3 linked regions of the Saccharomyces cerevisiae S288C genome follow. Changing the gene in region 3 together with the main gene of any one other region gives a genetic interaction. Each region holds a gene or a part of one and is shown on either strand. Other genes may lie near its edges.

Region 1 (5,641 bases), on a different chromosome or scaffold from region 3:
GTTGACTTGGTGACCGAAAATAGACACGAAATCGCTACCCGTTTCCCCAGAATATCACTCCTCACGATGTACCTCGGCGGCTAATCTTTTTGGTAGCCTTTTGTGATATATATATAAATAAATAAGTATACATACATATATATATATATATATTTATACAGCTACATTGTTTTCCTCCAAAATTTTCTGTTGGTTATGAATCGCAAAAGAAGTTTTCAGATTGTGTCCTCTGTTACTATTTCGTTAAGAAAGGAAGATATCGTCTACGGCTGGTGTGACGTAAGTATTGCGTTGTGCTCTAAAAATGAATCAAATCTGGTCTACAGGTCCCCCAAATTTTTACTTCAACTCTGAATGGAAAGAAAATAAGAGAAATGACAGGACAATTGAAGACTCTTTAAGAGAACTAGATGGGTTGATCCATTCCTTGGAGAGAACTCATATTGAAGTACAAACAAACCCAAAGCTAAAGAACGATGTCACAGCTTTAAATGATATTAACAAGAAAGAAAATAAAGAAGAGATCACTCATGAAAACTATACACACCAGATTAATAGTATTCCATTGACAAGCTCAAATTTAAATCGGCATTTCTCCTTTTCTAGAGACTACAACCAATCTGATAATAGCAATAATAATTATTACAGGGAATATTTATCCAAACCAAGGTATTTGCAGCAGTCAACTAAAGAACAAACTTTCAATGAAATTAATAAAAGAAAAAGTGCTGCAATTATTCCCCCTTGGTTAAATATTCCAGAAAACTCAAGATTTTTTGTAATAAAGTCCTCGTCTTTGAAGCATGTCAAAAGGTCGTTTTACAACGGAATTTGGTCGTCTACTCATTTCGGCAACAAAAGGCTATCTGAGGCATATAAAAAGCTTAATTCGGGAGCCAAAGTGTTTTTATTTTTTTCAATCAACACATCAGGAAGATTCTGTGGCGTTGCAGAAATGGTATCGGATTTGAAAATGGATTTGGACACCAGTATATGGGAAGATGAACAAAAATATGGCAAAGCCTTTAAAGTAAGATGGGTGATCGTGCGTGATATAAATAACAGATCGTTAAAAAGGTTTTTGATACCATCCAATGAAATGAAACCGATAACACATTCCAGAGATACTCAAGAAATTCCATATTCGATTGGAATTTCAATAATTAATCTATTTAAAACTCAAGATTCTGATATTTTCTCCTTCTTGGATGAGACGTATGAATAGACCTTATCCCTCATTTATCAACATTTTATTCTCATTTATTATTAGTATTATTATTATTTTTAATATTATTTTTATTTAAAATTATCCTAAAATTACTTCTACTGTTATAACATCCAATCCATAAGAAGCAAAAACAAAGTTTTCATATTAAGCCATCGTAAAGGTTTAAGGCACCAATAATAGAGGGATCGACTTTAGAACCTTCTCTGAATTCGTCCAGCGTAATGTAACCATCTTCGTTCTTATCCATCAACTTGAAGATCTTCTTTACCCTCATTTCGGGCGTTGCCTCATCCTCATTAAGTGTAACCATAGACCCCATCATTTTATAAACACTCGCCACAATGGTTAGCATTTCATCAAATGTAATATATCCATCATGGTTCAAATCATAAAGTTCGAAAGCCCAGCTCAGTTTTTCCTCCAAAGTTCCTCTGGACGTTGTACTCAAAACTGTGATAAACTCTTCAAAATGTATGAATCCATTGTTGTCTTTATCAAAAACTGTAAAAAGGTGATTAGCAAAATCTTCAGGAGAACCAAATGGAAAAAACTGTTTGTATATCTTAACAAAATCTTCCCTAGCTAGTTGGCCACTAGGGCAATCCCTCAAAAATCCTTTATGCCATTGCTGGATTTCTCTTCTATCAAAATAGGTGGATTGTTTCAAACATGTCAGGTCATCTTTGGAAAGCTTTGACGTCTTGGCTCCCATTTTTTTTTTGAATCAAAAACAGTTTTCAAGCACAAAATAACTCTCGCCGATTCTTAAACTAGCAACAATTATAAAACAGGAGGTAATATCCCTAGTTCATCAGTTCAATCGTTGACAAATTAAACATTATTTCAGTACTCTATGGTATAATAATAAAAAATACACCGAAGAGTTACCCTTTTTTCGTTTTTAATGATCAATTCTGGCTCATTTTTTTACTTCCTGAGCAGTCAACTACTACTGAAAAAAAGAGGCTAATGGGTACGCATTTACCTAAAAACAATTAGATCCCTGCCTTGGATCGTAATCTTGTTTATCTATCCTTTTTGGACATTGACATCTATTTGTGTCGCAGTTAATTGCTTTCTGGGTACGTTGACTTTTTCAGTTCTATATCGGCCCGTTGCTTACTCTGTTCAACTCACTTATTCTTTTGTTTCGGTTTGGGCTGCTGCATTTATAGATTAAAAATAAATTTCAAATTTCCACGCTAACAAATAGAGCTAAATTAGCAGTTTCATTGTTGGCTATATTTTCATTACAACTTTTGATCTGATAACGTAAAAGAATTCAAACAAAAACTATCTAAAAAAATACAAAGCAAAAATCATGTCTACTTTACAACGTCGTAGAGTCAATAGGGCGGATTCTGGAGATACTTCCTCCATTCATTCTTCTGCTAACAATACCAAAGGAGACAAAATCGCAAATATTGCTGTTGACGGGGATGATGACAATGGAACAAACAAAAAGATTGCATATGACCCAGAAGAATCGAAATTGAGAGACAACATCAATATCCCTACGTTAACGTTGATGGAAGAAGTCTTATTGATGGGCTTAAGAGATAGAGAAGGATATTTGTCGTTTTGGAATGATAGTATTTCATATGCTTTGCGTGGTTGTATAATTATAGAATTAGCGTTAAGAGGTAAAATCAGAATCTTAGATGATTCCGCCAGGAAAAGGTTCGATCTTTCCGAAAGGTTGATTGAAGTTATTGACAGTTCCAAAACTGGGGAAGTTTTACTGGATGAAACTTTGCAATTGATGAAAAACGACGAACCTTTGTCAATTTCTAACTGGATTGATCTTTTAAGTGGTGAAACATGGAACCTTTTAAAGATCAACTATCAATTGAAACAAGTAAGGGAAAGATTGGCAAAAGGTTTGGTCGATAAAGGTGTATTGAGAACAGAAATGAAAAATTTCTTTTTGTTTGACATGGCGACACACCCCATTGCAGACGCCAGCTGCAAAGAAGCCATTAAGCGCAGAGTACTTTCTGTACTCGTATCGAGGAACATGGAATTAAGTTACAATGAATATTTTCCGGAGACAACATCTTTCAAAATCATTAGAACTTTAGCTTTAATATGTGGATCATATGGGGCAAACGTATTGGAGAATGTCCTGACTACGTTGGAATATGAGAAGAGAGATAAGGCAATTAGTAGAGCTGAAGAAATAATGGCACAATTTTCGCAATACCCATTTGATTTAGAAAAGGAAACTGAGTTAGGTGTCTCCGTTAATTTAAACAAGGAAGTTAAAGAAGAGATAGAAAACAATCCTGGTCATGATTTACAATTGGAAGTTATTGCTGGTGTATTTGAAGTCTTTTCAAGAATGGATATGCTATTATGAAAATAACAACAAAAATCCTCTCTTTGAAACATAAGGAAAAGTCAAGCTTTTTTTTATAAGCCTCTAACATTAATAAACGAAATTTGTATATATGTATATACATATACGGAGTGGATAATAAATAGACCAAACTTTTTGTTATTATATACGCCCACATTCGTATTCATTGCTTTCTTGAATCCAAATGCTTTAAATATGGAGATAAAAATCCGCCATCGCCATATTTATTCAAGTAATATTTTTTAACTCTCACATCTTGAAATATTGATGGTTTTGATGACACATTAAAGTGCAAGCCTTCATTAAATGCGTTTATCAACGACCTTGACTCATTTGCATAAGCTTCACCACATGACTCCCACCAAAAGCCTCCGCCTAAATTGTTATGTGTCACATATTCAGCCTTAGTTTTGACTGATTTAGTGTTATCATAACTGATAAATATTGAATTTTTTTCATCAAAGCAATATGCTGAAACATATTTTGGATCGTATTGTTCTATTGTACCAATCTTTGGTAAATTTTTGTAAGGCCAGATGCCCTCCTTGCCATCAGCTTTATCTATTTCTTTAGTGGGCTTGCCCACTCCTTTGAAAATTTTGTTAATTAATACAGTATTTTGATTGAATGGTTCGAATTTGTTATCTTTGATATGGAAACTTCTTCCGTAGGCGGCCATTCCCAGTACTAATTTTCTAGAATTGACGCCAAATCTATCGATCATATAATGCATGGCAAAGTTTCCATTCAATTCCGTCTCACTGAATAGATTGCTGTGATATCCTGTTGTTTCTGACCACGAGCCATAATAATCGTACGTCATCATATTCCAGTAGTCAACATATTGATCAATTTCTGTGATTGGCAAGTAAAATAATTTATCCTTGAATGCAGGTGCCGCAATAGATAATTGAAAATGATCTTCAGTACGTTTCCCAAATATTTGGGATTCGAGGCTGTTTAGTTTTAATCGCAGCATTCTGACCAGTTTCAGATATCCGCGAGGTTCTGATTCATTGTTACCAGGGAACTCCCAGTCTAGATCAATGCCATCAAATCCTAATCTGAACATTGTTTCCACCGACGAATCAACAAAATTTTGTAAGAGTTTATCATCTTTAATTATGATTTTGAAATTTTCACTATCAGACCAGCCCCCAATTGACATGATAACTTTAAATTTCTTATCAGAACAGGTATTCTTCAAATAAAATAGTTCACCAATGCAACCTAAGGGTAGGATGTTTTGGACACTATTGTTCGAGCTTTCTTTAATTAGTTCTGAATTTTTAATTGCCAGCGATTTATACAAATTCATTTCTAGATCAGACCAACTATCCGTGTTTTCTATACCACCAGTTCTAGAGTTTATTTTGAAAAATGCATAGTAAATGTGAGACACTTGCTTCAAGTTTATGTCGTGAGGGAAATGAAACCTCGGTTTGTATGGGGACCAATTGGAATAATAGACCCCTGATATAAAGGCTTCGTCTCTTATATGGGTTCCATGATTTTGGACATTACTGGGAACTCGATGTCCGCCATTGTTAAAGTTGTCTCTAATATCATCCGACCTTTGGTTCTTAAAAATTTTATTATATAAACACATTTCAATAATAATCGTTATAAAGATAAGTAGTATTAGTAGGTGAGACACTAAGCTGCTTTTTGATCTGTGCTGAGCTGAGTGTCCTACCATATGATCACTCTTGTATCGTCTACTTATAGAGGTTGTTAGTACCAACCTGCAAATACAATTGTTGGACCATACTACCACAAAAGGTTCTTTTCGTTGGTGTATCCTCACAAATAATGATTATTCCACCAAAATCACCAAATTATTGTGTCAAACTAACTGGGATTACCCCACTATTGATTTTTCCAGTTTTTCCGCAATTTTCGCAGCATGTTTTACTTTTATAATGGCATTGTTGCATTACAGCGCCAGTTGTAGGTATCGATGATTTTATGTCAAAGTTTTCTTTCTAGCCAAACTCAGTTATGTCAACTGAACAAGATGCTGTTCTTGGATTGGCCAAAGATTTAGAAGGTAT
Region 2 (6,321 bases), on a different chromosome or scaffold from region 3:
GCCCGTGTAACGCGACCGCGCCAGCTGTAAACGTCACTAAATAATACCATTAATTGGTCATTTGCTTATATGTTATATAAATGCTTTCTCTATCAAAACTTTGATTATATGACTGCCGAACTTTAAGGGTGAAGTAACAAGTACAGACCAAATAGAAAAGATAAGATTCCCATCGACGGCATTAAGGAGGATGATGAATTTTCGTATCCCCCAATAGTTGTAATATTTCCCGGGGTGATTGTTGGGAAAATCTCAACGCTGGTAACACCCGTGGATAAAGCTAAACTTGTCGTACTAGATAAATAAGAAATGGTGCTCGTTAATGTTGCAGTACTTGTCGGCATTTCACTATTATTGATGATGCTCATATTAGTTACTAAAATATCTTCATACGCGTAAATTTTCGGTTTCGGAATCTCTTCAAATACCTCGTCTGCCCCGACTTTCTTCTGTATGCTGTCTTCCATAATTTCATGTAGAATACTTTCAATTTGAGAAAACTTTTTGTGCTCCACTATTGTTAGAGGATCTTCCAACAGAAAATCTATAACAGATTTGGAAGCAAGGACCGTATCGGTATGTTCTTGAGAATCAACAGCTCGCGGCTCCTCCGGTAAATCTGCTAATACTAAGTATGGATTAAACTCCATTTGATTTAGCAGAGCTGGTGGTAATGAGTTTTTATCCAAATGGAAAACTAAAGGACCAGGTTCATTTTGTCCTGTTTCATCTTCTTCATACTCATCTGATGTAAAAGTAATTGAGTATTTGGTAGCAAACACTTGTGCCATAAAAAAGGCGAAGAAAAGGGAGGATAGATATAATCCTAACATTTCAATAAGGATCAAAAAAGAGAATGGGATACAAAACTTTACTTTCCTTCCTTTCGTGCTAGTTACTGGCTTGGTGTTGTTCTTTAGTTATGTGTAGCAATGTTAGCTGCTGGTTTTTTGTCTTGGATAACTACAAATACTTTCAGGAAAAGAATAATTTATACATTATACAAAAGCGGCCTCTTTTATAAACAAAGGGCAAATGACAGTTAGCAAGACATATCATGGTTGCCATGGGACACAAAAACGTAGCCACAAAAAAAAAAAAAAAGGTGAAAGGAAGCGAGCATTAATTTTTTATTTTAATATGTAACTGTGATATGTATTAACAAAGTATCTTTCATAATTTTTGACGAATATTTTTACTTCTTTTTTACTATTGAAGGTTGGGCTGTGATTCATCGCGCAGAAAACAAGGACCTCATTTGAAAATTTCCTTGAATTGCTTAACAATGCTATTTTTGATGGCAGTTGGAGATGTCTTCCATTCTGTTGGCAATGACTTCCAGTCGATTTCTCCCATGATTTCCTTAATTTGAACTTTTTTTTCACCTGCCTTTGTTTTGAGGGCGTCCAGTAATTTCTTCACATTTTGATCAATATCAAGCTCTGAAGACACTGGCAATTGGTCCATATATTTCTTTATAATGTCCATTTCACCTTGCTCTTTGGCCACCAGATCGTCCCTCTTGTTAGCAAGGAACTCATTGATCGAGTCCTTTCTTTGAGATATTAACTTGGAGTACATGTCGTACAGGGAGTACTCATCAGCGCTCTTCCCTTTTAAAGCAATTTCTTTGTTTTTTATGGCAGATAACATATTTCTGATTGCTGTCTTCTTCATCTCATCCTTGGCAATCATAGCCTTTTTCAAATCTCCTTTCAATAGGCTGACTGCAGCCGTGTAGGCTGGAGAACTGTTATAACGAATGAAGGTTAGTCTATTTGAAACAAGTGGCCTAATTGATTGTCTGAACATCTTGGAATAGTGTTATTTGCTGTATTCCCCAACTTTATCCCAAAGTCTTTTTTCTCCAGTTCATTACTTCTGTAAAAAATGTTGCAGATCCTTTTTCTTCCCTTTAATTTTGAGTCCTTCCCCCCGAAAAGTCCCAGATGCCGGGTAGATGTGATTTATATCATTTATCGTTTATAGAGTATAAATTGGGTGATGCTACACTAAGTACGTATGCTCTTCTGAACTAGACTTAGTTTGCCCGATTAGTCTTTCTCACTCTCTTTCTCGAGGTAGTTGGTCCAAAGCGATACAAAGCTTTCCGTTCTCGATACAGCGCTTGAATTCTTAGACTCATTATTCGAGATCAAGCCGGCCTGTTGTTTCTTATCTTCATCCCAGTTTAAGAAATTGGACAGTAATTCAAGAACTTCAAACTTTCTTGGGTCTGCTCTGGGTATGGACACGAAAGATATCAATAGATTGGATATCAGTTCTTTATCAACGGATTCAGAATCGCTTGATTTCTTCAACATGGCCAGTGCCTTTGTTAAATGCTCATTTAGTATAATGGCTTCGTGACGTAGTTTTCCGATCTGTAAGATGTGCTGCTTAGATTCTTCCTCATATTTTTCCTTCATAGAGGCGTCCTCCTTCATGGCTTCTAGCTGTTTTTTCATGCTTTCTAAAGCTTCTGTGTCATTGTTGTGCGTTTCTATCTCCGTGTCAAGTTGGGATCGTAAAGATTTGACTTCCTGGTCTCTCTCTCTAGCCTCTTCTTCCCTTTTGTTGTCAACTTCTTCTATCTTCAATTCCAGATCATTTAGAGAATTCTTTAATACTGCTTTCTCCTTTTCATGGGATTCCAAAGCCTGTCTCAATTCATCTCTTTCTGTTCTCAAGTCAGATATATCTTGTTTATTATTTTCTAAGATTATCATGAGTTCCTGAACTTGGAGATTTAATTGATCTTTTTCCTTCCTGTAAGTGTTAAGTTCCTTACTATGTTTTTCAATTATGTCGTGTTTTTCATCTTCCAAAGCTTCTATCCTTGATTCGTATTCCAAAAAAACCTCTTCTGTACTTTCTTGCTCCTTTTCTAGGTTTTCTAACTCTGTATTTAGGGTCACAATCGTGGATTGTAATTCAGAGTTTTCGGTCTTGGTAGCTTCAAGTTTCTTCTTCAATTTCAGATTTTGTGATTCATATTCAGTAAGCTGCTCCTGCACTTCCTCTAATTGTTTTTGTGCTTCTTTCATCTTATTAAAAATTGATTTCATAGAAGATATCTTGCTCAATAATGTGTCATACTGTGTTTTGAATTCGTCTCTTTCCTTAATAACATTTGCTAGTTCATTTTTGAAGTCTTCATTAGGCGTTTCTTGATCCTTCTTGTGGCTTAGTTCCAATTTTAAACGTTCAATTTCTTCCCTTAGTTCCTTCATCTCATCACCAGCCTTTTTGTCCTCTAAAGGATTTATGGTGTCTACAGTCAGGCCGTCATTTACTTTTTGTTTGTCTACTCCTTCAGAGAGATCTTTCCCCTCATCGTCCGGGCTTGCCACGATACCATCAGCCTCTGGATCTGTGGACATTTTTGGAGGAACGGTGACGTTTACAGAATTGATGATTTCTTCAGGTTTATTGACGGTTTCATCAACGTCCTCCACATGAGGATGACTCTTGGCCTTCTTACCTGTTTTCTTCTTATTTTTACCCATTCTAATTAAAAAAAATGCAATTGTTTGAGGGGATCAAGTGGAAAGTATACACAAGCATCTACTATATAGCTGTTTATACAAGATTTTCTTGTTCTTCATGAATGGTCTTTCTGTTTGTTTCCATTTTTCGTATCGAAATGAGCACGAAATTCAAAAAGAAGTACTGAAAAAAAAATCAACATGAGAAGGAACAGCCGATCTCTCAGCGAAAACAGTGGCTTCGTTGAATACGCTGCTTGATCCTTACACAATAAGGAATTGGGTATCTCGCAGTTAATTTTATAACTTCAAGTCACTTCATAATAAACTAAGCTGAAGAAAATGGTCAATATTTCTGATTTCTTTGGTAAAAATAAGAAATCCGTAAGATCGTCAACATCCAGACCTACGAGACAGGTGGGTTCGTCTAAACCAGAAGTTATCGACTTAGATACTGAATCTGACCAAGAATCAACCAATAAAACACCAAAGAAGATGCCTGTAAGTAATGTAATTGATGTATCAGAGACACCTGAAGGAGAAAAAAAGCTACCTCTTCCCGCTAAGAGGAAGGCCTCTTCACCAACTGTAAAGCCAGCAAGTTCAAAAAAAACCAAACCCTCCTCTAAAAGTTCAGACTCGGCTTCGAATATTACGGCTCAAGATGTACTAGATAAGATTCCATCCTTGGATCTGTCAAATGTTCATGTGAAAGAGAATGCTAAATTTGATTTCAAAAGCGCAAATTCAAATGCGGATCCAGATGAAATTGTTTCTGAAATAGGTAGTTTTCCAGAAGGAAAGCCAAATTGTTTATTAGGTCTAACAATTGTCTTCACAGGTGTTCTGCCAACCTTGGAGCGTGGTGCATCGGAAGCTTTAGCGAAAAGATACGGAGCAAGGGTTACTAAATCAATTTCAAGCAAAACTTCTGTAGTAGTCTTAGGTGATGAAGCAGGGCCAAAGAAACTAGAAAAAATCAAGCAATTGAAAATCAAAGCCATAGACGAAGAAGGCTTTAAGCAATTAATTGCTGGGATGCCTGCTGAAGGTGGTGACGGGGAAGCTGCCGAAAAAGCACGTCGAAAATTAGAAGAACAGCATAATATTGCTACCAAAGAAGCAGAATTGCTTGTTAAGAAAGAAGAGGAAAGGTCGAAGAAGCTTGCAGCCACTAGAGTTTCTGGTGGCCATCTGGAGAGAGACAATGTGGTTAGGGAAGAAGATAAATTGTGGACAGTAAAGTACGCACCAACGAATCTACAACAGGTCTGTGGTAACAAAGGAAGTGTAATGAAATTAAAAAACTGGTTGGCTAATTGGGAAAATTCAAAGAAAAATAGTTTTAAACATGCTGGTAAAGATGGCTCTGGTGTTTTCAGGGCTGCAATGTTATACGGTCCTCCTGGTATTGGGAAGACAACTGCTGCTCATTTAGTTGCACAAGAGCTTGGGTATGACATTCTTGAACAAAACGCTTCTGATGTTCGCTCTAAAACTTTACTTAATGCCGGTGTTAAAAACGCTCTTGATAACATGTCTGTAGTGGGATATTTCAAACACAACGAAGAAGCTCAAAATTTGAACGGGAAACATTTTGTCATTATCATGGATGAAGTTGATGGTATGAGCGGAGGCGATAGGGGGGGAGTTGGCCAGCTGGCACAGTTTTGTCGTAAGACGTCAACTCCATTGATTCTAATTTGTAATGAACGTAATTTACCAAAAATGAGACCATTCGATAGAGTATGTCTTGATATCCAATTTAGAAGACCTGATGCTAACAGTATCAAATCAAGATTAATGACAATTGCGATCAGAGAAAAGTTCAAACTTGATCCAAATGTCATTGATAGGTTGATACAGACTACAAGAGGTGATATCCGCCAGGTTATTAATCTACTTTCAACGATATCTACGACTACTAAAACCATAAACCATGAAAATATCAACGAGATCTCAAAGGCATGGGAAAAGAATATTGCCCTAAAACCCTTTGACATTGCCCATAAAATGTTGGATGGACAAATATACTCAGACATAGGTTCAAGGAACTTTACACTGAATGATAAGATCGCATTATATTTTGATGACTTTGATTTCACACCCCTAATGATTCAGGAAAACTATTTATCTACAAGACCAAGCGTTTTGAAACCCGGCCAGTCACATTTGGAAGCAGTTGCTGAGGCGGCTAACTGTATTTCATTAGGTGATATTGTCGAAAAGAAGATTCGTAGTAGTGAGCAATTATGGAGTCTTTTGCCTTTGCATGCTGTTCTTTCATCTGTTTATCCAGCATCAAAAGTTGCCGGCCATATGGCGGGAAGAATCAATTTCACAGCTTGGTTGGGCCAAAATTCTAAATCTGCCAAATATTATAGGTTACTGCAAGAGATACATTATCATACAAGACTAGGTACATCTACTGATAAAATTGGACTAAGGCTGGATTACCTACCAACTTTTAGAAAAAGATTATTGGACCCATTTTTGAAGCAAGGTGCTGATGCAATTTCATCTGTCATAGAGGTAATGGACGATTACTATTTGACCAAAGAAGACTGGGATTCTATTATGGAGTTTTTCGTAGGTCCTGATGTGACCACAGCCATTATCAAAAAGATACCAGCTACGGTTAAAAGTGGATTCACGCGGAAATACAACAGTATGACACATCCAGTCGCAATTTACAGAACAGGTAGTACTATTGGTGGTGGTGGTGTTGGCACCAGTACTAGCACCCCCGATTTCGAAGATGTCGTTGACGCAGATGACAATCCAGTTCCCGCAGATGATGAAGAAACACAAGATAGTAGCACAGACTTGAAGA
Region 3 (5,592 bases):
AGTTCAACCAGTATTCCTCAAACTCTGAACTAGATTTTGGAACTTTATCTTCATAGCCAGGTTTAATATCCAATGTCCTATTTTCAAAATCGACCGTGACGGATGTTAAAAATTCCGCAGAGGTCATTCTGTTTGGTTTAACCCAACCCATTCTTTGGAAATATCCAACAGCTTTATCAGCAGGACCGAAGTAAATCTGTCTACCGTTATATAGAACAGTAGTTTTATCAAATAATTCATAAATATTTTCACCAGCTTGGTAAATAGCAACAATAGCAGAGTTGTTTACCATATTTGTAGCCGTTCTAATGGCTTGGGCAAACTCTAAAGCAGTAGAGGCATCCAAACCTCTTGTGGCGTTATCCCAAGAGTAGATGGAGGCATTCATTGCCTGAGCTTCAACCAAGGAAACACGCTTACGTTCACCACCAGAAACACCTCTTACGAAATCGTTACCGACTTTGGTGGCATATGTGTGTCTTAAACCAAAAACGGTACACCACATATCTCTGATGTTATCAACGTATTGCTTTCTCGTCATTTTGTCAATTCTAACACGAGGAGTCTTACATTTTAGGGCAAAATCGATTGTTTCCTTCACAGTAATTTTTGGGAAATGGAAATCAAGCTCGGGACAGTAAATAACGTAACCTTTATACTTAGACATCATTTCGCTTTGGTCCAGACCATCATAGGAGAATTCACCTTGTACATCAACTAATTCTGAAGTTTCACCAGATAGACACTTTAGGAAAGTGGAGCAACCTGCACCTGGCCTACCGACGACAAATAACATTTCACCAGATTCAACGACACCCGTACAATTTTGAATAATATTCCTTAATGGGACATCAGATTTCTTGGTAAATTTACTTATGAGATGTGCCGGTATACTAGCAATATTTCTAAACATCTCTTCAACACTAGGCCCATATGCAGCAGAGGCATCAACACCGACTGCTGTTAGGTTTTTAAAGGCAATACCAGAATCACCAGGTTCAATTCCCTGTTCCAATTGACGAGACCTCAAATAATGTAATAGTGAGCGCAAATCAAAATCTAAGTCATTAATTTCAAAAGAGTCCATTTCCTTCTTTGTCTTATGTGAAATGACTCTCGCCATAGACTCCAACCTTTCAATACCTTCTTCATTGGAAAGAATGTTTGAAAGGTGACGGGATAGCTGAGAAGTGGCTGCCAAATCCTCATTATCAACTTGGCCTTCGGAGGCAGCGTAGGATTGTACCGAATTAGCATAATCATCGTCATGGTTCGATCTCGACGAAATGTCTTTCTCAATATGTTCGTCAGTCGAAGACATTTTTTTATTAATAAGAACAATAACAATAAATCTGTAAACCTTTTTTTTAAGTGAAAATTAGTAACTGGGAAAACAGAGAGAAAAAAAGCAGAAGAATATATTGATTGAAGAATAAAACTGTTTAACGTTCCCGTTTATTTTTCAGATTATCCTATTGTTATACTATTATCGTTCTTAGTCTTTTCTTTATATGATAAAGAGAACCCCAAAAAGAGAACTACCTTGTACCATGGTTGTTAATAAAATTGGATTTGTTGATATATTTATATGATTAACATTTCATTCAGGATAGAATTGCCTAAAAGGTAAGAAATAATCATAAGAACCGTCGAGAAAATGTGATACCGAATCCCTGCGGTGGACGTGGCTAAAGAATAGTGAAGAAAAACCGGCTGTAGTGTATGTTTTGTATGAGCCATAGCCGAAAGATCGAAAAAGTAGCAGATCCCAAACACTTTACGGAAAAAAATCGAGAAATTCCGGCGAATCGGCTCTTAACGGATGCAGGGTGTCAGTCTGATGAGCCATAAAAAGAAAGATGCACCATTGCCAAGCTGCCCTGAGGAAGGGTTTTGGTTACCCTGTGAGATGGATGCGGTAAAATGACCAAGGGACCGGTTGGTAAGGGACCAGGTTAGGAACCGTGAGCGGCGAAAAAAGCGCGCATTTGCACAATTATATTATTAACAGGTGCCTGAATTTTAAGAACCGTCCACCATCACAGGTGAAACAAATCAACAGAGTCCTGCCGGCTGGTAAACAATCCATCTTTGGTTTAGAGGCCACTATCGTCAGAATAATATAAGGTCTATTTTCGGCGCGAAAGTCCTGATGAGGTAAATCGTAGTCAGGCGCCTGAAAGTCTAAACTAAACAATTGAAAGCCGAAACCGAAACGCGGAAAAGTAAATGGCACTCTTCGAGCGGCTACTAGTCGAGTAATTACATTTCTAAATTAGTCTGTGCAATAGGGAAAAGAGAACATTCTTACTCCGTTGCGATGTTTCTGAGCATAAGGCGCGCGCAAAAGCACGCACGCATTGACCGGAGCGGCGCCCACACACGGTTGTTATCCTAGTTTTTGTTGTGAGGAAGTGTTCATATTCTTTTAGGTTATATTTATATATATATATATAAAAGTTGAATGTAAAATGCAAAACAAAGATATCGTAGTATAGAGGGTAATATCACAGTAATAAAACAGGCCTGGTTTGAAGAATGATTATGTTGATGCTGGAGGTCGTAAATTGTAACATGAAATAGGGAGCATGCGAAAAAAAAAAATGACGAGCAAAAAAAGCAAGGTAGACAGGCGTGCCAAGCGGAGTAGTATGTCGTAAGAAGCGAGCAAATAGTACTCCTTGTCTTGCAAAGTAGCGAAGTACAAGACTGGTCTTCAGGCTGCTAGAGATTTGTATCAATTTTGTATTTTTTTTTCATCCCATGCAATTTTCCTTCCCATTTCTTTTGCTTTTTTTGCCGCGAATTGAAATATAAAGTCTGATATGAATTGTTGGAGTCATACCATTCTCTTACGAGCTGTTATTTCCCAGTGAGTACTTAGAAGAATCATTCTTTTCTAAATCGTAAACATCACTTTTCCTTGAAGATTTTAGTAACACTATGTTTGTATTGGAATCTTTCCTCAATCGTTTCTGCTGCCTTGCCAGCAAAGTGGCACTGGCAGTATCACTGGTACTTTTACTCAACTTTAGTCTTAAGCCTAATGAATTTAGAATTGTGACAAATCTTACTTTTATAGCATTAAGTTTCCAATTTTTGGTTAGATTACTGAAATTCTTGGAACACAACCAGCAATAGAACGTGAATTCACCATATAGGATAAAGAAGCCAAAAATAAATCCGGTAACGACGCAGGATAAGATGTGGTTTTCTAGTGCTTTCATCAATTTTGCATCATCTAAATGCCATGAAGAGCCTTTAGTAATGGAGAAAAATGAATAACTATGCATCTTGTAGTAAGCAGGTTGTAGGATTCTTACTGTCCCGTTCTTAGGTATGCGCCATCTTTTGTACTGCTTCCAAATAACACTTAAAAACAACGGACCAGTAGACCCCATAATAGTCATGTAAGGGATAAACCAGTACTTGTCATAGTGTTTCAAAGACTTTAAAGCCTTTAAAAAGAAGGGATGTCTAGGCACAGAACCCATGACATCGTTTGAGACACCTAAAGGTGAAGTCTTTCTTAAGAAGGCCGGGAAAGCTAACAAAGGATCTAGTTTCCTTTCGCAGCCGTCATCTAAATCGATGTATACACCACCATAATGGGACAGGATAAAGTAACGAATGGCATCGGCACGTTCTATGGGGTATTTGTAGTTCTCAAAAGTATCGAGAAACCACGGGTATTCTTCCTTTATAAACTCATAGGCCATCTCGTCCGTCCATAGGATGTACTTGTAATCTGGATGTAGATCGAGACATTTTTGTCTACCCTCTTTCCAGTGCTCAGGGATGTCTTCCGTTTTATAAGTCTGATGTATGATTTTAGGTATTAGTTGAGGCTTTGGAGGTGCATCTGGATTTAAGTCTTCCTCAAGTATAGCATCTTTAACAGTATCGTCAATACACAACGTTAGCAAATCGAAAGTGTAGTATATTATAGATAACAGGAGGAGTATGTTGAAGCAGATAAGGTATTTTAATTCTTTTCTCATCGTGAGTGCAACAGCGGAAAATCAGAAAAATAGAGTAAAGCAAATATGCGAAAATGAAAAGTGTCTTCCGATTTATTGTTTGTTTGTATGTGTTTATTTGAATCCGATGATGAATATTACAACAGGTTAAAGAAAACAAAACATGCGAAGCAAAATATGACGGGAATGTTGGCACCTTTTATTTAACTATATTAGAAAAGAAAAAGCAGAAAACGTAAAATATCTGCGTAAGCCTCCTCCCTGTGTCTTCACTCCTCTAACCATTTTTTCCAAGTAGAAAAGTTTATATATAACAAGAGGGGAAAAAAATGTGGAAATTGGCAGTGGACGTGAGAACAAAAAAGCACCGCTGAAAGGCTTGGCCAAGGAAGTTTAGAAAGGCGATAATAACGAGGTAAGAAGAAAGAAAAAAAAAGAAAAAGATGGCTTAGCAAAAGATTGGTTTTTATCCCGGGGGAGTTGTTGTGGCCGGGAGCAAGAGAAGAGACGCAGCAAGCGTGGGTCAATGATAATGACGCAGCGCGACGCGACGCGACGCGAATTCAAAAGTGTGAGTTTGCTCGGGGATAGTAATAATGCGGGGGGGAAGACGAAACAGACCGTGTGTGGTGTGGGTGGGATTTCGTGGGAGCACGTGGCGAGCAGAGGAAGAGCCTCACACAATGCTGCGTTCTTCATAAAGGGGATCAAAGCAAATAGATAATCGATTCCAAAGACAGATGGCTGACACGCACTTTCACAGTTTCGCAGTTTTTTCTTTTTTCGTAGTCGCTTTCCTAGTCGCTTTCCTGGCTCTTTACCTAATCGGGCTTAACCTAGCAGTACCTTTTCTCGATTCATGAAATCAAAACGCTAGTCACTTCCTTATAATTTCCTTTTTCAATTTCCGCCGCTTGCGTTTACGTAGTTTATCTATTTATAGGTACGGTATACCCTACTGCATTAATAACAATGAGTCCAGCTTTTCTTGGGTCAGTTGAATATTTAATGCATGCTTGTCGCACTGGTTATTTAGGAGCCGCAATTCTAGCTCATTAGAATTGATTTTTAGGTTTAGTTCTTCCAAAGCGGAATCGATGGAATCGCTCTCTTTGAAAACTTCCCTCGCCTTTTCACATTCACTTTCGGTGTTGTTTGTCTTTTTCACATTTTTATCAAAATCTGTCAAGTAAATAAAGGGGGAATCTTTCATATCTAGTATTCTTTTCTTCTTGACGACGCTGCTGCTAGAGCCGTCGCTGTTACTTCTATTTTCTGGTACGTGTACTGGGTAACCCTTTGCATAATAGCCATTCGATGGGGGAGGCGGTGGTGTCTCACGGTGGTGGTAATTATTGTAAGTATGGCTGCTGGAATATGGATAAGCACTGCTGTGATATGATCTATTGTTGGTTATAGACGATACTGAAGGTGGTGGCGGAAGCCCGTTGCTGGTGCTGCTAGTGCTGCTGTTCCCACTACTACCATTTCTGCTGCTGGTGCTGCCAACGCTCATCGGTTGTTGGCGTGGATGATCTGCCTGCATGTTCCGGTATCTGGACTTGACTCTTTTTTCGTCATTATCTTCTTGCGAGGCGCTCGTGGTCCTGCC

Evidence for each region. A genetic interaction does not mean that the proteins touch.
Region 1: mutations in SUR1 (region 3) and VPS74 together harm fitness more than expected from each alone (negative genetic interaction), as found in Saccharomyces cerevisiae (5 studies listed by BioGRID, with this or other methods).
Region 2: mutations in SUR1 (region 3) and RUD3 together harm fitness more than expected from each alone (negative genetic interaction), as found in Saccharomyces cerevisiae (6 studies listed by BioGRID, with this or other methods).

The regions. Positions count from the first base shown.
Region 1 is NC_001136.10:1,219,058-1,224,698, reverse strand, and holds VPS74 (Vps74p), read left to right. Parts: upstream 1-2,549; coding exon 2,550-3,587; downstream 3,588-5,641. Other genes in the region: PHO92 (mRNA-binding phosphate metabolism regulator), read left to right, coding at 305-1,225; FRQ1 (frequenin), read right to left, coding at 1,368-1,940; CTS2 (putative chitinase), read right to left, coding at 3,751-5,286; DXO1 (Dxo1p), read left to right, coding at 5,589-5,641.
Region 2 is NC_001147.6:745,471-751,791, forward strand, and holds RUD3 (Rud3p), read right to left. Parts: upstream 3,510-6,321; coding exon 2,055-3,509; downstream 1-2,054. Other genes in the region: SPR2 (Spr2p), read right to left, coding at 123-833; AIM41 (Aim41p), read right to left, coding at 1,255-1,812; RFC1 (replication factor C subunit 1), read left to right, coding at 3,831-6,321. UniProt on the Saccharomyces cerevisiae protein: Involved in the structural organization of the cis-Golgi and in vesicle targeting/fusion stages of ER to Golgi transport.
Region 3 is NC_001148.4:449,057-454,648, forward strand, and holds SUR1 (mannosylinositol phosphorylceramide synthase catalytic subunit SUR1), read right to left. Parts: upstream 4,002-5,592; coding exon 2,853-4,001; downstream 1-2,852. Other genes in the region: ATP-binding cassette multidrug transporter PDR12, read right to left, coding at 1-1,321; LCL1 (Lcl1p), read right to left, coding at 4,374-4,679; LGE1 (Lge1p), read right to left, coding at 4,936-5,592. UniProt on the Saccharomyces cerevisiae protein: Involved in the synthesis of mannosyl phosphorylinositol ceramide. Catalyzes the addition of mannosyl to phosphorylinositol ceramide. Suppressor of RVS161 mutation.